Linked DNA regions of Nothobranchius furzeri. The protein of the gene in region 1 purifies or fractionates together with the protein of each later gene. This does not show direct contact. Links are inferred from orthologs where the notes say so. Each region holds a gene or a part of one and is shown in the gene's direction. Other genes may lie near its edges. The genes, in order: med12 and cdk19.

Evidence for each region.
Region 2: the proteins of med12 (region 1) and cdk19 purify together in Homo sapiens (affinity purification with mass spectrometry; 10 studies listed by BioGRID and IntAct, counting the BioPlex papers as one, with this or other methods). This does not show direct contact. The link is inferred for Nothobranchius furzeri from reciprocal best matches to the Homo sapiens genes MED12 and CDK19.

The regions. Positions count from the first base shown.
Region 1 is NC_091741.1:82,322,805-82,333,979, forward strand, and holds part of med12 (mediator of RNA polymerase II transcription subunit 12), read left to right. Parts: coding exon 1-116; intron 117-359; coding exon 360-431; intron 432-523; coding exon 524-687; intron 688-782; coding exon 783-944; intron 945-1,016; coding exon 1,017-1,218; intron 1,219-1,407; coding exon 1,408-1,517; intron 1,518-1,599; coding exon 1,600-1,735; intron 1,736-3,372; coding exon 3,373-3,522; intron 3,523-3,807; coding exon 3,808-4,173; intron 4,174-4,246; coding exon 4,247-4,388; intron 4,389-4,474; coding exon 4,475-4,665; intron 4,666-4,758; coding exon 4,759-4,833; intron 4,834-5,682; coding exon 5,683-5,891; intron 5,892-6,019; coding exon 6,020-6,194; intron 6,195-9,304; coding exon 9,305-9,493; intron 9,494-11,175. UniProt on the Homo sapiens protein: Component of the Mediator complex, a coactivator involved in the regulated transcription of nearly all RNA polymerase II-dependent genes.
Region 2 is NC_091742.1:28,592,001-28,603,710, reverse strand, and holds the start of cdk19 (cyclin-dependent kinase 19), read left to right. Parts: upstream 1-4,379; 5' UTR 4,380-4,486; coding exon 4,487-4,489; intron 4,490-4,563; coding exon 4,564-4,709; intron 4,710-11,710. Other genes in the region: amd1 (S-adenosylmethionine decarboxylase proenzyme), read right to left, coding at 3,515-3,627.

The DNA.
Region 1 (11,175 bases):
TGCTGGTAAACATACAGGCCCAGCGGCTCCTGCAGCTCATCTGTTATCCTCACCGCCAGCTGGACAGCGATGACGGTGACAACCCTCAGAGGCAGCGCATCAAACGCATCCTCCAGGTACAAAACACTCGCATCAAGTTCTGTCAGCAAAATCTAATTCTTTACTTTTGTTTGTGATTAAATATTGTACAATTATAGGAATAAAGTTCATTATTTATCAACCCCTTTGATCTGCTGCTTTGGTTTTTTTTTTCCTTCCAAATGAAACCGTGGGGTTTTCCTGCCCTTTTCTGGCTAAGTGTATTATTTCATGTTTTTCAGCCACCTACTAAATCATTTTTCACTTTCTCTCTGTGGCAGAATATGGACCAGTGGACGATGAGGCAGTCGTCTCTGGAGCTGCAGCTGATGATCAAACAGAGCACAAACAATGTGAGTCTAACTCCTTCCTGTTGTCCCAGTAACAGAAAATGGTGAATTTATAGTTGTTACTGGCGACATAAATGTGTTTATTTTATATTTAGGAGCTCTACTCTCTCCTGGAGAACATAGCTAAAGCCACTATAGAGGTTTTCCAGAAATCAGCTGAGATGAACTCCAGTAACCCCTCAGGAAATGGAGCGGCAGCCCAGGCTGGCTCTGCATCCAATAGCAACAGCACCACGAGCAAGATGAAACCTATTTTAAGGTGCGGATTTCAACTCTGCACTGATAATGGGATCTGTCTTTAATCTACATTTTGGGTTGAATGAAGCTAAGATCTTTGTTTTCACTGATATCCAGCTCCTCAGAGCGATCAGGCGTCTGGCTGGTGGCCCCATTGATAGCCAAGCTGCCCACATCGGTCCAGGGCCATGTCCTGAAAGCAGCCGGAGAGGAACTGGAAAAGGGACAGCACCTCGGCTCCTCCTCTCGCAAAGAGAGGGACAGGCAGAAACAGAAAAGGTACGTGGCAGCTGAGTCTTTTCCCTGGAATCTTGGTAGTTTTGGAACAATCGTGTGTTTCTGCTCCCGCAGTATGTCTCTGCTGAGCCAGCAGCCGTTCCTGTCTTTGGTGCTGACCTGCTTGAAGGGCCAGGATGAACAGAGGGAAGGCCTTCTTACCTCCCTCTACAGTCAAGTGCAGCAGATTGTCACAAACTGGAGAGAAGATCAGTACCAGGATGACTGCAAGGCCAAGCAAATGATGCACGAGGCTCTGAAACTACGTCTGAATCTTGTGAGCGTCTTTCAAAAGCATAGATAGCTGTATAACACAACATCTTAACAAGATTTTGTTTATTCTGATTCAAAATAATTGCACAAGTTTCTAGTTTCATGTGCACCTTATCACACAGAACCGACTTTGGTCTGGATTTGAGTTCTTAGAATAAAAGATTTCATGAAGCGTTTTTGTTTTCTTGCTAAGGTTGGAGGCATGTTTGATACGGTGCAGCGGAGCACCCAGCAGACCACTGAATGGGCAGTTCTTCTCCTCGACATCATCAGCAGCGGCACGGTGGATATGCAGTCCAACAAGTGAGTGTTGCCTACAGGGAGTTTCCAAAGTCACTGTCAGTAATGTGCCTGTCTGGTGCTCATCTCCGTCTCTTTTCTGCAGTGAGCTGTTCACAACGGTGTTGGACATGTTAAGTGTGCTAATAAATGGCACGCTGGCTGCTGACATGTCCAGCATCTCCCAGGGCAGCATGGAGGAGAACAAGAGAGCTTACATGAACCTGGTGAAGAAGCTCAGGGTAGGACCTGTGTGTGTGTGTGTGTGTGTGTGTGTGTGTGGGGGGGGGGGGGGGGCTGAAAGAGTGTGCAAGTGTGTAGTTGAGCTACGGCAATAATCAAGGGGCTTTTATTCTAGTTTCAGACCTGCCAACCTGTACACACTTTGCTTGGCAGTTATGCAGTTTGGCATCTAATTACCTTGGTATGACTCACCCCTCTAAACTACGCAAAAAGCTGTGGACACGTGAGTTCTGTAGCAAAAAAGCATGTGTGGTACACGACTCAGCACATGGTGAAGAAGTTTAGGCCAGTCATTGTAGAAAAGCAGAAAAAAACAATTCTGCCTAACCTATAGCGTAACCCTCCCCCCGTCTTCATCCTGTGTCCTGCCCGCTGCCTCTCTCCATCCTCCAGTTCCCACTTGCTGCTGTCCTGGGGTTTAAAAAGGTCAAGTGTGTGTCCCTCGGCATTCTTCAAATATCCAAGAAATGCCCGTACTTCTGACTTTTTCTTCTTTGAAGGATAATAAATGTCCCAAGTGCTGCCATCTCCTTTGGCCATTATTTCAGCTTTAGCTTCAAGAAAGTTTTGGTTGTAAACAACAAAGTGCGCATGTGCCGCCGGCTACTTCAGCAGATGATACGGTGGCTGGTAAGGGTCACCGCGCCTACACCACAGCCACGGTAATCCACCGAGATTTTTTTTTTTTTAAAACAAGACGGTTATTATTATTGTCAACTTTTTTACCGGGGTTTACTGCTACACCCGTTACCGTGACAACCCTAGCCCTGACACACTTTCAGATATTCTCATGGTGCAGCTGTGTTCTCCAGAGATCAAGGACTAGGACCCAAATGAGGCTGTAATGCTTTGGCACAAAGACGGTGTCAGAAGCAGGAGGCCAGACTTCATGGACAGAGAAAACAAGGAGTCTGACTAGATTTCAATGAAAGAGTTCATAAAAACATCTCTAAAAATAAATAAATAGTAAAAATGACAAAAGAGTTGTTTTTCTTATTAATTGATGTTTTAATTATTTTGTCACTCTGTCTGGAATCAACATAATATAGAGTAACATGCTTTAGGTAGATCTAAATCATTTAGAATTTTGGTCGGTAAAAAATATGCCGCTTGGCCGGTGAGTAAAAAATTTAATTTCGTACCCTGTGTGTGTGTGTTTGTGTGTGTAAGTGAGTGAGTGAGTTGAAACCCGTTTCTCCAACCACTCTGCAGCGTTCAATCGGCAATATACAAAATAAATCATTACTATTAAAGACATTAACATTTTTTTTATTAATTTTTATTAAGTATCTAAATAATTCAGTGCAATTAAGCTGTTAAGCTGTCAGCTTGTATGAGCATATATTATATAAGGAAAGCAAGAGCAACTTTTGAGTTTTACTGCGTAATATTAGAATGCGTGGTAATTCGGACTATTCAAGAATATGTTTCCAGACAGTAAAATAGCCAAACAATATGGCTGCTGATGATCTAATGACTTTGGGCTCTAGGCCTTTTGCTGCTTCACCTGTTTGTCCCAGAATTAGGGGACGCTCCAGCTCGAAGGGTTAAAAGTGGTTCTGACTAAGGTAAAATCTTTGACATTTGAGGTTGTACGATTTTGTAATTGTTGCTCCGTTTGTTCTTACTCGTACAGAAGGAGCTTGGAGATCGACAGTCAGAAAGTTTGGAGAAGGTTCGCCAGCTTCTGCCGCTACCGAAACAAACCCGTGATGTCATCACCTGTGAACCCCAAGGCTCACTAATAGACACAAAGGGCAACAAGATCGCCGGCTTTGAGAAGGAGGTAGACACACTTTACTCCTCGTTCAACATGACGATCGACAATGGCTTTGGGTTAGGTTCTTATGAATGCTAGAACTTGGAGATTTGGTGGTTCTGAGACAAATAGAGGACAGTGCAAAGACATTGTTTTTGTCATAATGATCAAAAGCAACTGTTAGGCTAATCATCACTGCTTCTACAGCTTCATTTGTTTTTGAAACACTGGTCATTTAAATTTTCTAATGTTCAATATTTCAGGTCTTTTAGGCTTTTGTTATTGATTAAAATGTGTAATTTGGTTCATCAGGGCCTTCAAGTATCAACCAAACAGAAGATTTCTCCTTGGGATGTGTTTGAGGGTCTGAAACACTCAGCCCCTCTCTCCTGGGGCTGGTTTGGAACTGTACGTGTGGACCGGAAGATCACTAAATTTGAGGAGCAGCAGCGTTTCCTGCTCTACCACACCCACCTGAAGCCCAAACCTCGCAGCTATTACCTGGAGCCTCTCCCTCTGCCCCCTGAGGAAGAGGAACCCTTGACGCCTGTCCCTCAGGAGCCAGAGAAGAAGATGATGGAGACGGTGAAAGCAGAGAAGAATGTGCCAGCTGTTCCTCCAGAGTCGAACAAGAAGAAGCCTAGCAAAAAGAAGAAGTCTTCCTCTACCAAAACAGAGGTCTGAGTAGCTTCGTGTCCAACAGGCATGTTTTAATTTAGAATTAGGGAGTTAACTGGCTTTTCTTTGACAGGATTATGGGAATCGTGCAACAGGAGGTGTGAACTACATGCCAAACATTGCCCCAGAGTTAATGCAGAGCCACCCATATGGCAGAACACCCTACAACCCACAGCCCATGGGCATGTTGGCACAGAACCAACCCCTGCCTCCAGGTAAGCCCACAGCATCATCAAAGGCCTAGTTTTGGAGACTAAGCAAAACCCAGTCTTGGTTTTACGTTCCTGTGCCTTTCCATCAGGAGGTCCAGGGTTGGAGCCTCCGTACAGACCTCCGCGTAACATGATAAACAAAATGATACCCACTCGACCCAGCTATCCACCCAACATGGCTGGTTTGGTTGGAATTGACAAGCCATACCAAATGCCCTACAAGCCCCCACCTAGCATGGCTCAGAGCCAGAACCCACGGCAGCAGTTAATGTACAGACTGGTGAGTTGTGCCTGTTCCTACCCGATCAAATAATCCCGTCTGATGTTTATATCCTCTTGTTACTCGAACTAATGTTACAATCACTTTTCTTAGCAAAGCCAAGCTCATGGACAGCCCATGAGGCAAATGGCTCCTAACCAACCATACACGGCAATGCAAGCCTCACAGGTGGGTGCGTTTTAGTCTAAAGCCGGGCGGACACTGTGCGACTTTTTCACTCGTAGCACTCAGCTTCAGCTCAAACTGTACGACTTCCTCGCAGGGCAGATCTCACGAGTCATCTGCTCACACTGCACGACCCAGTTCTCGGATGCGACCTGACTGCTCACACTGTACGTCTGGTAGCAACACGTCGGCCCTAAAAATATGCTAAAAATAGCCGTTTTTACTCAACACGTCAGACTTTTTTGTCTTGTTTTGCCTGTTGTCCTTCGGGAGTGCTGCAGGAGGACACACAGGGATTTATGGGGGTTGGATTAGGAAAACGAAATAAAGAAAGTAAATCTGTGTTTTGTGATCAGTTTAATTTGACATGAACACGACAAACACGCTTTCTTGACAATCTTTGTGAGTAAAAAAACGTGTAGAAACAAAAACGAACAGCGTGTGTTATTAGGGAAATAGCGAGCGGCGTTGATGCATGATTGCGCATGCGCCGTGAGCGGTTCTGATACTTTTTGGGTCGCAGCTGCTCGCAGCGCTGCTTCAACAGTGCGATACCCTCACGAGGGACGAGCAAAATATTAAACACGCCAGAAGTCCGTGCGACCTCACGACTGCTGATCGGTAGCTGGTCACGTGGTGTTAATCGCCTCTCGTAACCCCCTGTACACTACACGACCGCTCGGCGCAAAACTCGCCCCGATGTCGTGGATTCTCGCACGACTGGAAAATCGGCTCAAAAAAGTGAAAAAGTCGCACAGTGTACACCCGGCTTAAGACATCTTCAAGTGTTGACCACATAACTAAGCTGAGAAATCAACATTTCAATTGATTACCAACCTTGTTCCAATCCAGTCTCAGAGCTATACCTCATATGGACCCCACGTGGGCATGAGTGGTGGAATCCTTTCCTCCTCCCCCTATGGGAACCAGAACTTCCAGAGCACCCATCCTGGACCAAACCCCGCCGTGGTGGATCCTCACAGGCAAATGCAGCCGAGGCCTAATGGATATGTTCTCCAGCAGGCTCCAGGCCCCTACGTGCAGATGCCAACAACACCAAGGTCAGCTTTGTAGGACAGCAGCTGCTTAGTCTTGTGTTTTTACTTTTTTAAATTTAAAGCTAAGTCTTTATCTTTACTAATTTTGCTCCTGTTCATTTTTTTTGGGGGGGGGGGGTTGTAAACTTCAGGTTTCCTCAAACCCACCAGTCGAATCCTGTCATGCAGGGTCTCAGCCAAACAGGACCCCAGGGAGTGTATTCTGGCTTGAGGCACAATCCGATGCTGGCAGATCAGCAGCAGCAACAGCAGCAGCAACAAGCAGCGCAGCAACAGCAACATTACAACAGACAAGTAGCACTCCGAGTAAGAGACTGATCACTGGTTTACACAGGTTTTAGCTTGGTTTAGTTTATTCTTAATAATAAAAGGATAGAGTATGATTACAAGGCCTGGAAATTAAAGTTTCTGAGCTTGACGTGGTCTGAGCAGCCTAACTTTCTAAGCAGATTTAGCCTTCTTGAAAAAACTCTAGCCTTAAAATTGGAACATTTTTAAACCTTACACTTTCTGTTTCTGGCAGAAATATGATGCTCCTGCTGGAAGTGCCCCCTGCTGTACCAGAACCAGTACAGCTAGTTGTTGCTGCCAATACCTGAATTATGGATGTTGTAGTAAAAAGGAATCTATCCAACTAGATGAAATATCATTTACATACACCACTGTGACATTTTTGGATTTAAGATGGCAGTGATCCATTTTGGTCTTGGTTTTGTTTGGACCAGTAGTGGAAGAAATACTTGATGGTTTTACTTAAGTAAAAGTACAGATAAGGGGGTGCAAATGACCTAAGGAAAAATTGAAGTATTCAAGAAGTAGTGTTAAAGTATACATTTTCAAATGTACTTTAAAGAAAAAAATTACAAGTACTCAACATTTAAGTAGGGCTTAAAATATGCATTGTGTTGTAAGTGTATGGGTTAAGGTGTTGCCAAATACACCAAAATAAAACAATAAAACAATGTAGATAAGCAAGTCTACTCAACTCTGATTTAAAGTAAGAGCTTAAAGGTACAAGAAGTAAGAAATTTATAGTGAAAAAAATAACAAACCCGTCTAATGTCTCAATGATGTTGAAAGGAAAGTTACACTGAAACAAATTTCCTTCTCAGCCGGCTGGGCGGTTGTCAGTTTTTCTCCTTTCACAATGGTCAAAAACGGACACAGTCACTTTTCACATTCTTTGAGCCTGTGGGGTTGCCAATTCTGTGCTGATCTGACACTGCAGCACTGGCTTTTGTAATTCAACACTGGCTGACAAAACGCTCCAGAGTTGTGGAAGGTATGTTGGCCATTAAAGGAAGCAGCCCAGAAGTTATTTCTTGTACCCCTAAGAAGCCTCGGCATCTTTTTGCTTCAATAGGATAAAGAAGGCTAATGGCTAAAGCTGAGCTAACAATGCCAACAGTGAATTAAAAGGACACAGTCGGATGTAAAAATATCTAAAGCTACTTTTTTCAATTAGCAAAAACTCGATACTACAGTGAAATTAATTTACTCATCAGTTTACTGTGTATGACTCGTCTTTGCTCGTCATCAAGACTCTTCTGGTGCTGAGTTGTAACTGGAAATGTTTGCTCAGAGCAGACTCATTTGTTTTAATACAGACTGCAGTACCCACATTTGACCACTGAATGTCATTCTTTCTTCATGCACCTTTAATGAACAGGAGCATAAAGGCACCCTGGCCTTAGATAAGGATCCAGATTAAATAAGAAACATGATACTTTTAAAGGAATACTTTGCTACTCTTTCATATTTTTAAATGATTTTCTTGAGCCAGTATGTGTTGAAACGAACCTTTACAGGATTAATGAAAGGCCACCCAGGCCCTATCGCCTCCTGTGGCCAGCATATTCCACATGCAATTTCAGCTTGTCTGGCCGCCCTGTTGGAACTAAGAAAAAAATTGAGCTGGCGCTGCTGTCTGGTTCCAGCACGTCTTCTGTTGTACTTCAATTTAAATGAAAAGCAATTTGTAATTACAATGACTACAAATCAGACATCGGCAAGTCACATATATGATGTCACCATAGAATCTCCTCTCCCCTAGCGTAGCTTCTACTGACCAAATGGCCAGTTTCATGGTGGTTCTTTCCTCCTGATGGAAGGATTTGAAGTTGGCTGATTTTACAGCCACTTTTCCTCATCATTTCTCCATGTCTGATTTGATTACGTCAATTGGCGATGTGCATTTGTAGTCCTGGATGTATTTTCACACAAAACCTAAAATAACTTTTGCCTCCATTAGAAAATAACAAATTTAGTCCCACTGACTTGCAGTCAATTTTTCGTTCTTCCGGGGACCCATGGTCCGGAAGAAGATGGGCGTGACTTAGGCTCACTATTGAAGCAAAATACAGAAATCGCCATAAAAACATTAATAAAAAGGATCTCTTTCAATTAAACATGTTAAAAACTGTTGTGTCTCATTGGTTTAGCAAAGTAAAAAATACTTAATTAGTTTTGAGTAATGTTTTAATTTACCTGGAGGTTTTTGAAGAAAATCACTTAATTTTTCATAAAAATCTATAAAAAATGTACAGGACTGTATGAAATGTGTTAAAGGCTGTTGTTGTGGGATTGGTCTAGCTTAGTAACACCGTTGGGAATTAGGTTGGAGTATTTTAATCAATTTACCTGTAAGCTATTGACAAAAAAGTTTTACTTATAAAAAAAAGGTCAGATTGTATGAAATATGTTTCTAACTATTGTGCCTCGTTGGTCTAGTTCAGTAAGACAACATGGAATTGATTTTCAATAATTTAATTAAGACTAGAAACTGTTGACGGTCCCTAAGCGGACCACCGCTTTCATGAGCAAGTCCCCGGAACACAGCTGACCGCTGTCTCTCTCTGGTGCAGCACACGGCATGAAAATCTCCGGCTAACTGTGGTGAACTATGAGTGTATATCTGTCAAATGTCCAACATCCAACTGTGGTGCAGCGGAGTGAGGTGACACGAGGCACCCCATACCCTTCTCATGCATGGAAAACTTGGCAGCCCTTGCGAGACTGCTCAGGCCTGCTGAGGACCTAGTGGAGTGTGGCTAGACTGACCTGCAGAGACTTTTGCTCCTGCTACGGTCTCTCTACATTTCTAGGCTAAGGTTGTTGTCGTTTTAATAACAAAAAGAAAAAGCAGTGACAAGGAAAACTTTGCTTCATCTGAAAGGCTAACTTTTTTCTGTTACGTATACATTATCACTACATTTCAAAGAACTGAAAAAGAGAAAATAAACCTTAAAACCTTAGAGAAGCAAGCTGGTGCATTCAGTGAACTGAGACGTTCTTTGGAAGCTTTACCTTTTTTTCAGTGGGGGCTCTGAAGGGCATTAGAGTGAGAAGCCGATGAATTTAGACATAACTTTACTGAAGTTAGTTTCTCTTGCTGTAATACTTTTGTCCTTCTGCAGCAGCAGCAGGCTCAAGCTCAGCAGCAACAGCAGCAGCAGCAGCAGGTTCAGCAACAGCAGGTTCCTCCTCAGCAGCAGGTTTCACAGCAGCAGCAGCAACAGCAGCAGCAGGTTTCAGCCGTGGCTCCTCCAGGTCAAACACAGAACCAGGGTCTGAACATGCAGCCACTGCCCCCTCAGCAGCCCATGGTAAGTATGACTCATAAAAGCCTTTAGTTGTCCTCTGGTCTGCAAAATATAGTAGAATTTTAAATGACCCTAATGGTTGGACATTTATTTATTCAATAAAAAAACTTAATTGTCCAGTATAATCCATAAAAGTCCAGTTCTAATTAGTTTTTCTTAGTTCAAAATAAAAACAAAAATTTAGTGATGTACCGATATCCGATATTAAGATCACTGTTATGGCCAATAACCGATATTTGCCAATACCGATATACTGACATTAATGCTTCTAAAATCAGCAGATTTTGTATAGAATGAAAATTATTAAAGCTGAATTTACGTTATTACCGTAAATCCTCTAATACAGGCCGGTATTCAATTAAAGGCCGGGTCTCCAATTTTGGCCGGTGTCGGAGTCAGCGGAGGTGAATAATGGCCGGTCTCTTATTGTGGCCGGGTGGAATGTGGTAACAAGCAAGTACAAGCATCCCAGCGGCAGGGTTATAGTCCCCAAATCAACCAGCAGGAGCCAATAGAGGTTCACACAGACCTTTATTAGGCTTTTTCTTCAACGCTTTGTAACGCTACAGACACGATCCTCTATCACGCTCCTACCACACAGAGTCACGGTGTCAGTTAACCATGCTAATTCAACCCGCTCCACAGAACACACATCACCTTCCCTGTGGCTTACATAACACTCACACAACACGCAAATCAGCACATAGGAACTAGCAGAACGATAGGAAACACATATAACACAATACCCAGAATGCACCTGGCTTACAACCCCAGCCAGGTCATTACACTATCAAGTTCAAAGAGAACGTGCTGATTATGCTGCAGAACACTCTGGAGAGCAGCAGTAGGGGGTGTATGAACTAGTCAACTTCACTATAGTGACTTTTTATGCCTGTCGCTGTCACGTGATAATGACCGGCAAGGTGCAGCCCTCGGAAAAGACAGCAGCCTGCTGTCAGCAGGTGACAAGCTCCTGCGCTCGGGGGGGGGGGGGGGGGGGGGGGGGGGGCAACGCGCTGTGCCAGACCGTAGGTACTGACACGCGATCGTTCATGTCGGTTCATTTCCTTTAATGTTTTCTGTCTTTTATTTGCGCTTGATGTGTATCGCTGCTGTGGAGCGGGGCGCTTCACCTTGTCCTCCGACGCACAGATCACTGATGCGGCCTCCAAGCAGGGAGCGCTCCGCTGTTTTCGCGGTCGGTAGATCTGCCTCCTGAGCACGGCCACAGTAACAATCAGGTGTCGCCACCTCAAAAACTAATTTAACACGCGATCGTTCATGTCGGTTCATTTCCTTTAATGTTTTCTGTCTTTTATTTGCGCCTGATGCGTTTCGCTGCATGCTGTGGAGCGGGGCGCTGCCCGCATCACCTTGTCCTCCGACGCACTGATCACTGATACGGCCGCCAAACAGCGAGCGCTCCGCTGTTTTTGCGGTCAGTAGATCTTTTAGAACTGCAGTTCAAAGGTAACTCATGAGGTGAATATACATGAACCCAGGTAGCAGTTTTTCTTTAGGATTGAGAGGAGATGCAGGAAGATAATAAACAGACAGGACAGAAAAATAGTCAAATAAAAACAAGTTAGTTTTTGTACCTGGTGGTTGCAACAAACTGACACCATTGAAGGTCATCAGAAGTGAGGAACAGAAAATGAAATAATTATTTTAATGTTTAGAGCAGC
Region 2 (11,710 bases), on another chromosome or scaffold:
GCCAACGTGGCGCCGAATGACGCTGCTTGCAGCTTTGATTATATTTATTATGTACGGTAATGTGCCGAGTTGTCCTCTGCTCTTTCTGCTACAGACTCAACTGATGATGGATGCTCGGCACAAACACTAGCACCTAGATTAGCATTGTGCACCAATAAAAGACACATCTTCCTCACACAAGCAACGTACCTTTGTTCAATAATTGTGGCGTAATGGTACGCTAAAATCATATTCGGTTCAGTGTTTTGAAGAGCTTGGTTTGATTAATTTTTGGTATATTATTATATTTATATAATATCTGAAGCGGCTCCTAAAGTGAGCAGAAGCAGGTGTCATCACAGGCTGCTGATCTATGATGTCTTTAATTATTTCACAGGTTATTAGTGCAGCTATGAGTGTCACGCGCATACAGACACGTGTTGAGTTTGACTGTTGGTGCTCCTGTTTTAGCCTTAAAAACTCACCTCACACCACCGAGTTTCTTCTTCTCGTATAAAATAAGGAGCTTCCTCCGCGCTGTATTTCTGTAGCAGAGATTGGGCGCGTGCAGCCATCATGGGTCACTCAATACAGCGTTCGTCCAGAAACTCAGCTAGGAATTTTTATCTGCTGCACTTAAATCACGCAAATACAAATTCATCATTTAACGGAAAAAATTAACTGAAACGTATGCAAGTGGACTGAACCAAAAAGGCCGAGCCAAAGCGGTTCAACCCCAGTGAACCGTTACACCCCTTTTCACGAGGGATCAGATTTATCAGAATTGGATAATTGGTTCTTTCAACACGGCCCTAAATATGATTGTGAACGGCTGATGAGTTTTAGCCATAATACACCTGGAGATGACATCCACTTGTAAATTAGCAGGTCCTAAAGCTACACGTGAGTATAAAGCCAGTCATGCAGCTCAACATTTTATTCAATAGTTTACACCTACTACATGAGCAACCATGGCTCAATCCTGACTGGCACAATTTACATAAACCTAGGGCTGGGCGATATGGACCAAAACTTATAGCTCGATATCTTTTTGCTGAATTCCGATATATATCTCGATATTTTTCCTCCTGTAAAATATTTACAAGTTAACTCACTTCAAGCTGTCTGGAGAAATTATACATAAATCAGTAGATTAAATGCATAAAAATGTTTTGATTCTTGTCAAACTTTAACCTTAGTGCCTATTCTCTACCAGTCTGAGCTTTAGAAACGCTGGTACAGCTGTCTGCTAACACACACACACACACACACACACACACACACACACACACACACACACACACTTACTTGAGCTAGAGGTGTATCAAATGTCCCACAGGTACTTTTTAATTATATATTCATAATTAATGTAAAAATATTTAAATTCCATCTAGAGGTGGCCGATATCGTTTATTTCTTGCCCAGAGAAAATAAATCTGTCATGTTAAACTAAATGTATGATGATGTCATTGCATCTACTGAAGGTCACATGGGTCATGCACCGTAGAGTTATTAGTTATCAGGGCAAACATGGCTGGAGTCTAACTGTTGGCTCATATCAGCGATTATACTGTAATGACTCAGTCTCTGGTTGCTCTTTTATCAGTATTATTGTCGTGCTACTGTCGCCGTAACCCACGCCTTACAAACTCTTAACTCAGGATGTTTCCTGCATTCAAATTAGCATGGCGACCGCCTCCAGCTAATGTTGTGCCGCCCCAGCCTGATTTCACTCTGCCCACCTCACACAACAGATGATGTCATTCTGTCATGTTTACAAATATTACTGCACATTATACACGCGTGTTTACCATATTACTACTGAGAGGCACAAATTCAATCAGTCAGTGTTCATTTGGGTATTTTCCAATAATGTTATTAAAACATTTATAACTAGAGATTTACTGATGTGAATTGTGTACTTTTCCTTTTCTCTACACTGTCAACTAGGTGCGGTTTCCATTTCCTTTACACAAGTTGAAAATTATTGCATTAAAGAAAAATACATATATTTTAGTCAACTAAAATAAGAAGTTTCTTTTGAACTTTAGTGAAAAGACTTAAACTAAAACTAAACAAAAATGGCTGAGAGCACGTTTTAAAGCATTTGCCAGCACCACCACTGCAGTCGAACGGAGAGCCCAGGGACCTCGTAATCTGAGCTAGCGTCACATTCTGTGAATCAGATGCCCTTGTGGACTTATTTGGACACTGGCTGACATCCAGCAGACCCAATGCACTCACAGTCCCCGTGTATGCTGGTAATCTGCCCTCTGGCCGTAAATCAATGCCAGTCACCACCACTCACCCTAACGGCCACGCCACCATTTATCTTTATTAGCTAATGATCTGAACAGTTGTTCAGCTTCTATAAAAACCCACCAGGGTTAGAGGTTTGTGCAGGACACTTTTAGTCCGGAGAAGGGACGGCCAGGCGCTGCTGGGACTCTGAATGGTACACTCCATTGTTAAAATCGTCACTTGGAAGTAAAACAGCACTAATGATAATTTTACTCAGATTTCTACAATCCTCCGAGGCACGTGTCAGACAGATTTGGGGGCAAAGGTCACGAACATTTTCAACCCTCCCTTCCCATTCTCCTGTGTGTGTGTGAAGGCAGCAGGAGGTTCCGACCCATCTGATAGGTGGAGCCCTCAACCAATCAGAGGCGATGGGAGGGGACTTCCCATGTAATCAGAAATGTGACCGGGCTCCCTCCAACAGCAGAACTTTGGGTCGGCACTAACAAAATGGATAAAGGTGTCTGGACCGTCATGGGACCCTGTTTGTGTTCCCAAGAAGCGAACCGGATCAGTCTTTAGTTCCGTTTTCCTCCGGACACCCACCTGTTTCCCTCATTATAACCGGATCCGTTATCTGGCGCCTCCGGTGGCTGCGGCAGCCGGGCGGGGGCCACATGCTCCTCAGACCCCCAGCGGAGTGGCGCAGAGTAAAATCGCTGCATTCTCCGGAGATCAGCAGAATTTCCATCGTGTCTGTCGTATTAAACCCAGAGAACCGCATCACGAGAAACTGGGCCTCACCATCGGTCCCGCTAACAAAACACTCCAAGCCCACCCCACTTCTACAGCTAAGCTAATACAACACTTACAAACCGCACCCGGGACCGTCCAGCGAGACAGAACAGAGGGTTTCTACCTTCTGTTCCCGAAGCAGCCGTGTGCAGGCCAGCCTGCTGCCCGGTTGTAGCTGACGGGTCCAGCAGCAGCACGATCGCTGTACTGGTCACAGCCCACAGCCTCAGAATGAATGACTCAGCTCAACAGAGCCACACTTTAAAAGGGGAGGAGGCCATTTTCGCTCACGTTGCTAGCCAGATTGGTGGGTGACGGCTAGGCCACAGACAGGTTCGCTAAGCTGCTGAGGGGAAACCAACAGGAAAACAACATTTCTGAACGCTTATTTGGTTATTTAACACTAAACCGCGAAGCCATGATGGACTCAGCCGCTGTTACCGCGAAATTACGCTCGCATGCACGGAAAGACATGAACTCAACCCAGTAGGACTCAAACCTTGGGATGGTGCGGAGGTCCCCGGTCCCCTTGGTCTCATCCTGCCGAGAGAACCACACCTCCAACAGCTTCTCGGTCCCTTCGAAGAAATGTGCACCGTTTTCCTCCATCATGAGACAACAGACGCCCAACAAAAAGGTGTAAACGTTGTTCGCAACGTTTGTATGTTAATAAATCCTTTCTCGATTGACTATAATTTATTGAGGTACAGTCATTAAAGTAATTCTGATGTTAATTTTCTTAAGTTACCGCGTTCCCTTTTGCAGAGAATACAGTTAGCGAGCGCTAGCTAATATCGCCGGCCATACTGTGTAAGCACCGAACGAGCCGCGGACAGCTCTTTTATAGCCTCAAGACTTACGTCACAGTGGATTGACCAATCCGCTTGTATGAGTAGAGGTTGTCCATTGTGATTTGTTGAGGAACCTTCCAATCGCACTGGAGACTGATTTTCCTCACGTGCCATTTTATTGCCACAAGAAAATAAACGTGGTAGGACCGTGTAAACAGGACAGAAAGCGAATTAACTTCATATAATGTTAACACACGTGTTTGCATCGTTAAATGCTGTTATTGTGAGTTATTTGGTTTTCATAGCTTGGACAAAATAATTAAAAATAGTTATTTATATCCCCCAAAAGACAACGTGGTCTGGGACAGCAGCAGTGTGTTTCCAAAATGTATGTTCTAAAAATGACCTGGAGATATGATCACAGGCTATGTTGTTGAACCGCTCACCTCGGGAACAAAAGCGTCCAACACAGAAGTCTGGACCACTAGCGAGCCGAGCACTCATGCGGACCCGTAGGGAGCGGGAAACGCGGGTTGTAGTTTTTCTCATTCTAGTTTCACAGCTAGTGAGTCGCGACGAGAGCTCAGAAGACTCCATTACCCAGCAAGCACTGCGCCCCAATTAGAAGCGTCAACGATCCAGTGAACACAGCGGAGCAGACCAAAATCCCAAACAAGGAAATGGTGGGGGAATAAAACGAGCAGATTATTTAATTAATGCGTGTAATAATTAATATTTTATTTTGTTGTAATTTAAGTCGTCTTTATGGGTTAACATGGATTACGACTTCAAAACAAAGCTGGCAGCCGAGCGGGAGAGAGTAGAAGATCTGTTCGAATATGAAGGTTGCAAAGTGGGTCGAGGCACCTACGGACACGTTTATAAAGCTAAGCGCAAAGACAGGTAAGACCACCGAGGTCCGGTTCCGTTCGCCCTGCCGGTCTCACGGTGCGTTTGGGTTCACACGGGCCGCGCTGGTGTTGGACGGGCGGCAGACCGAACCTTCCAGAGTGTGTCTGTGTTTTTGTTTTCATCTAACACACACACACACACACACACACACACACACACACACACACACACACACACACACACACACACACACACACACACACACACACACACACACACACACACACACACACACACACACACACACACACACACACACACACACACACACCTCTAGCCGCGCTCCTGTCCCAACACGTTTCACCAGAGATGTTTGTGTTCTGACGTTAGCTCTGTGTCTGTTCACCGGACCGCGGTGTCCCTGCTTACAAAACGGCGGGATTCCTCCGGTTTGACCGTAGACAGGTTGTGTCCCTGTGGCTTCTGTCCCTGGGACAGGACCTGTGTGTCCCTGTCTGCTGGCCCGGCCGCTGAGGGACCTGCTCTGTTATCAGTCCCGGTGAATGTTCGTGTGCCAAAGCTCTACTCCGATCTGCATAAAAGCAAAATATCATTTCCAGCTGGTGGGGGGGGGGGGGGATAACACGTCTCACCTTTATGTTAATATTGTTTTATTTGATGCCCTCCACTCTGAACTGCACCAATCCAGCAACTGCTGCATTTTAATAACTAGTATTAAAGGTGAATACACCAATATTTGCACAAGAATAATTTTAGTTTTAAACTCTCAGTGACACACTTTGCAGGGGGAGGGGGGGTGGCATTTAATTTTTCGTCTGGAAAAACATCTCCTTCTGCCCCCTTTATTTTGGTCCAAGACCATTACTGGGCTGGCCCTATTAAACACCTTCTACACCCCTGCTTAGTAGACTTAATGAAGTATTTTTAAGCCAGTATAAAAATGACTGAAACACAAATTTACATATTTGGCATTATTGACCAATATCTTTGATTTAATTTATTTGTTGAGAACATCAAGATGCATTACAGTGAACATTATAATAAAGTACATGTTTCTAGTGCAGAGAGGAGACAACCCATAGAAGCACTGGTCTGATCTCATTTCAGAGAAAACTAGAACAGGTCAGATGCACCTAATAAATAAAATTACTAACGTAAACTCAGGAATCTTGTTTCTTTGCTTCATTGTTCTGGTGCTGGAAACATCACTAATGCGGATCAAAGGAGACACACAGATGAATGCACCTCTTATTTATTATTTGGAAATTAGTGGGTGTTGTTTACATCAATACATTATTTTAAATCTGAAATTGATATGGATTGATCAGAAGTTGCTATGTGTGTATTGTTTATCTGAAAACTATTTACAGAGCAGCCTCAGAACTGAGATTAAATATGTTTGATCACAATAGTAAAGAAACTGTTACAGAACAAGTTTTTCAGTAAAATCAGAACATTATTTATTTATTTATTTATTTATTTAACTTATGTTTTTTCAGGAGGATAAACTGCTTGAGATGTAACATCTCGTTTTCGAGCAGGTCCTCCTACAACACAACCAATAACAAATAAGGTGGCAGAGTTAGAAAGTTGTAACAGAAATAAAAAAAAAAAAGGGGAAAGTAAATAATAGTAAAATCAACGATATGTATAAATGTATATATATACACACGTAAATATAAACACATAAGCAAGGATACATAGATACCAACAAGTGTACATACGTACATACATACCTATATACCAAATTAAATTAAATAAAACTGCTGTGAGGCACTAAAAGAGAAATAAGGGCAAGAAATTACATTATAAATAAATCTAAAGTGAAGTAGTATCCCAATTGAATACAAAGTTTGGCAACGAAATACAGCATGTTAGCCATTGAATGCACAAAATCATCATAGTAAAGATTAAACAAAGCAACTACAGCTTGGCTTTACATAAGCATAAACAGTGCGGGAAAATTTACGAATTGTTGAGATGGATCTTAATTCAGCGGGTAATTTATTCCAGTCCTGAGGAGCTTTAACACAAAAGGCGAGTCTACCCACCTCCTTTTTAAAACGAGGAACAACAAATGATGGAAGAGTAGTTAAGCGGGTTGAATACAAGGAATCAATGGGAACCAAAAGTGTTTTTAGATAAAGTGGAAAATCAAAATAAATGCACTTAAACATAAATATCAACCAATGAAATTGTCGTCTAGCTTTTAAAGGAAGCCAACCAAGAAGATCATACATATAACAATGATGAGTGTTAAATGAACACCGCAAAATAAAACGACACAAACTGTTATAGACGACATCAAGAGACCGCAGGCTAGAAACTGTTGAGTTTTGGTATAAAATATCAGAATAATCAATGATCGGTAACAGAAGCTGAGTGACGATGCACTTTCGAACAATAGGTTCAAAGCAATTTATTGAGTTATAAAGGATACGTAAACACCGTGTGACCTTAAGACATGTTGTGTGAATGTGAAATTTAAAAGACAGCTCTGGCTCTAGCCAAACTCCTAAATATTTCATTTTAACAGACGGTTGAACCGGGGAGGAATCCAAAAAATAAAGATTAAGAGTCCTGTCACTGTCAGATAGAGTTCTACTTCTGTGAAACAGCATGGAGTAAGTCTTAGATTTATTTAAAAGAAGTTTGTTCTGCATTAGCCAGAGCTGCACCTTGTCAAAATTAGGCTGAATAGCTTCTTGTAATTCGGATTAACTCGACTTAGAACAGTATAAGACTGTGTCATCTGCATATAACTGAACAGAACAGGATCTGCAGCACTGTGGTAAATCATTAATAAAAATTGAAAATAATAATGGCCCAAGTGAGGAGCCTTGGGGAACACCTCTGATGACACCACGCATGTTTGATTCAGAACCATTAAAGGAAACAAATTGAGAACGATGATGAAGAAAAGAACTAAACCACAGTAGAGACGGCCTTGACAGACCAAAAGCATATAATTTATCTAAAAGTAGATAGTGATTGACGAGGTCAAAGGCTTTTGTTAAATCAAGAAAAATCGCACCACCAAATAAATTATTGTCAAAACCAGAATAGATGTCATTAGAAAATTTGAGCAGTGCAGTAGTTGTCGAGAAGTTTTTTCTGAACCCCGATTGGTACTGTGATAGTAGGTTGTTATCCTCTAAGTATTTAGATAGTTGGATAAAAACCAGTTTTTCAAATACTTTAACAACTGTATTAATTATAGCAATGGGTCTATAGTTATTAGGTTCAGATGTATCATTTCCTTTATGCAGTGGTATTATTTTAGTACATTTCCAAGCTTTTGGAACAGAACATGAGTTAATTGAATGATTAAAAAGAATAGATAATGGTAAGGCTAGAACATCAGCAGCTATCCTAACAAAGCGACTCTCAATGCCATCTGGACCTGCAGCATTCCCACTAGAGAGAGACAGTATAACTTTACGCACTTCCTCAGAACGAATTTCAGAAAAAGAAAATCCACTGGAGCAACAGTGAGGCAGGGTGTAAGACCCATGATGTTCTGCAGAGGCAGGGAGAGGAGAGGAAGCAAAGTGCTTACTGAATGCTTCAGCAATTTCAGCCGGGTCATTAATAAGACTCCCATTAACATTCAGATGTGAGATTTTAACATTAGTTTTCCCCCTCAGGTCTTTAATTTTATCCCAGAAGCGCTTAGGGTTATTGATATCCTTATGCAAAGCATTCTTATAAAAATTAGCTTTAGCATTCCTAGTCTGGGTAGTACAGAAGTTCCTTAGTTTTCTATAAACTGTCCAATGCTCATGCAGATTGCTAAGTTTTGCTACTTTCCACGCTTTGTCGCGCTTCTTAAATAAAGCAATTAAATCATGAGAAATCCAAGGCAAATGGCTGCCCTTAATTTTTACACTGACCCAAGGAGCATGTTTATCAAGAACCTGCATGAACTGAGAGTGGAAAAATGCCCAAGCATCATTAACATCAGGTATAAGAAACAATCTATTCCAATTAAGAGAATGCAGCTCCTGTAAATACTGATCAGTATTAAAAGTATGCAAGTCACGAAGTCTGATCATCTTAGCTGGTGTATGTGGTAAAGATATTTTCCAGAAGCAAAAAATAACAGAATGATCACTAAAACAGTTGGGCAAAATGCCATAATCAGAAAATCTGTCTGGGTGAGTTACTAATATCCAGTCAATGAGAGAAGAGTTTGTGGCACAAGTCCTAGTTGGCTCTGAGACCAGCTGTGTCAGATTTGAGCTATTTAAAAGAATACGTTCTGGAAGAGTAGATTCATCAAGCCAGTTAAGATTGAAGTCGCCAAGTAAGATCAATTCCATTGAGTCCCCCAACGAATCAACCGTTGCTAGTAAATTTTGTATTGCTTCAAGTCTAGGGGAGGAGGGGGGGCGATAGATGTTGCCAATTATAATGTGCTTATTTCCATTAAAAGAAATTTTAGTAAAGATGGCTTCGAAGTGAAGTGGTTTGACTGTCGGGACAATAACCTGAGACTGCAGACTAGAGGAGACATAAGTGGCAACCCCGCCACCCCTTGTCCCTCTATCCATTCTATATAAAACAAAGTTGTCAAGAGAAATATCATTGTCAGAAATGTTATCATTCAACCATGTCTCAGACAACGTAATTATTTTTGGTTCATTATAACCAAGCCATGCTTTTAATAAATCAGTTTTAGGAAATAAGCTTCTTATATTGAGATGGATTATGTGTAAACCTTTACCCATAACAAGAAAAACGAGGTACAAAAATAACCCTCACAGCAGGCAGATACAGAAGAAAATCTAAAACAAAAATAAACAGAAAAAAAAGAACAAAATATAATAAAATTACACGGAAATTAAATGAGTTATCACTCATAGTCCAGAAAGTCTCAGATCTGAGCCCATGGCCTGCAACCTGCTCAAAGCACAGCCACCTAAACTAATAAAGATTGCCATAACTCAACAAGGTGGCTGGATTTTATCAATATAAGTAAATAAGAATAAAGTAAGGATAATTTGACCTTAGACGAAATTTGATTTCACCGAACAAGAGGAGAAGCAAAAACAAAAAGGAATTACCTACTCTGCGGAAGAGCCAGAATTAGAATAATAAAAGAAAGAGGAAAGTCACAAGTCCGCCCTCCGCAGGTGCTCGTACACCCAAAACCTCTCAGGGCATCTCAACCCAAAGAGTCCAGGTGACTTTCAGCAGCCACTGGGTCTGTAAAAAGCAGATGATCACCATCAGAGATTATCTTGATGCTTGCAGGATAAAGAAGAAAAGCTTGTAGTCCCAAGGCGCGAGCCCAGTTCAAAACCGGGAAGCAGCGGCGTCTCCGACGAGCTGTTTCATCGCTGAAACAGCATGGAGTAAGTCTTAGTGCAGAGAGGAGACGACCCATAGAAGCACTGGTCTTATCTCATTTCAGAGAAAACTAGAACAGGTCAGATGCACCTAATAAATAAAATTACTAACATAAACTCAGGAATCTTGTTTCTTTGCTTCATTGTTCTGGTGCTGGAAACATCACTAATGCGGATCAAAGGAGACACACAGATGAATGCACCTCTTATTTATTATTTGGAAATTAGTGGGTGTTGTTTACATCAATACATTATTTTAAATCTGAAATTGATATGGATTGATCAGAAGTTGCTATGTGTGTATTGTTTATCTGAAAACTATTTACAGAGCAGCCTCAGAACTGAGATTAAATATGTTTGATCACAATAGTAAAGAAACTGTTACAGAACAAGTTTTTCAGTAAAATCAGAACATTAATATTTAAGTGCATGAATTAATGCATCTGAACTCATGCAGTAGGAACTAGGAAATATTAAATGCTAGAACCATTTTATTTTCATTTGATTAAACTGATTTTTTCCTAACGTTGTTGGAATTTTCCCCACACACAGTTAAACAAAACAATGTTGAATATATTTAACCCTTCGAAGGATGCAGACCCTGAACTGAGACACAATGGTAGACTTAGCATTTGTTTAGCTTTGTTGCAGCTTTATGAACAATTTGCACCAAAACAAAGATCGAACTGATAACGTTACACCAAAGTACTAACAGTGCTATTCCTTAGCATGCTACGTCTTTAACTTCTTATTTGTTTACATTTTCCACACAACCAGTTTCATTCACTGAACAAAAATGTACAGACAAGGTCAATCACCCATGTGGTCCAAGAGGAACCCAATGGGCCCTTGAGGGAGGGGTTAGGGAGAGGACGTTACTGACCAATCAGAAGACAGAGCAGATCAGCCACAGGCCCTGCCTCCAGCATGCCAAAAGTCTAGCAGTCAAGCGAGCGAGGACTCGGTAACCAAGTGTGCAGTGAGGGTGCCGCAGACATTTTTGTCACGGCCATGTGCTTGTTGGCCAACACGTGCATGGACGGTTAGAGTTATGGGCTCGACACACGGGAGGCGACATCGCCTCTCCTCCATTCATTTTCAATGAGACATGCGTGACAAAGCGATAATCGCGGGTCTCCCTCCTACCAAGCGAAACGCGAAAAACGTGCGTGTGAATTTTTGCGCTCGTGCACGTGTCGTGCACAGGCGACCCAGCGACGCGATCCCAAAAAGTTGAAACATTTTCAACTTTTCATCGCCGTCGCTCGGACGAGGACCAATCAACGGAGGTTTCATCCACTGACCAATGAGCGGACAGGATGCTCCGCACATCTCCGAGCAAACATGGAGGAGAAGTTGATTATTATTATGTTTTATAGTATAATCAGAAGTAAGATTTCACATAACTCTAGCAGCACCTTGTGAAACATCATATCTACCGCTTTATTAACTCTGAACCGCTTAAATAACCTTAATTCCCTCCAACCTGACACAGCCAAGCAAAACAACGGAAGTTTCGATTTCTCCATGGAACAGAACACGTAGACGGCTTTGCCGCTGCCGCGGATCGCCTCCCGTGTGTCAGGTAATAAAAGCGACGGTGACAAATTTCGCTGATTGCGGTCGTTTGTCGCCTCCCGTGTGTCGAGACACTTACAGTCACTGTGCAGATGCTCGTGC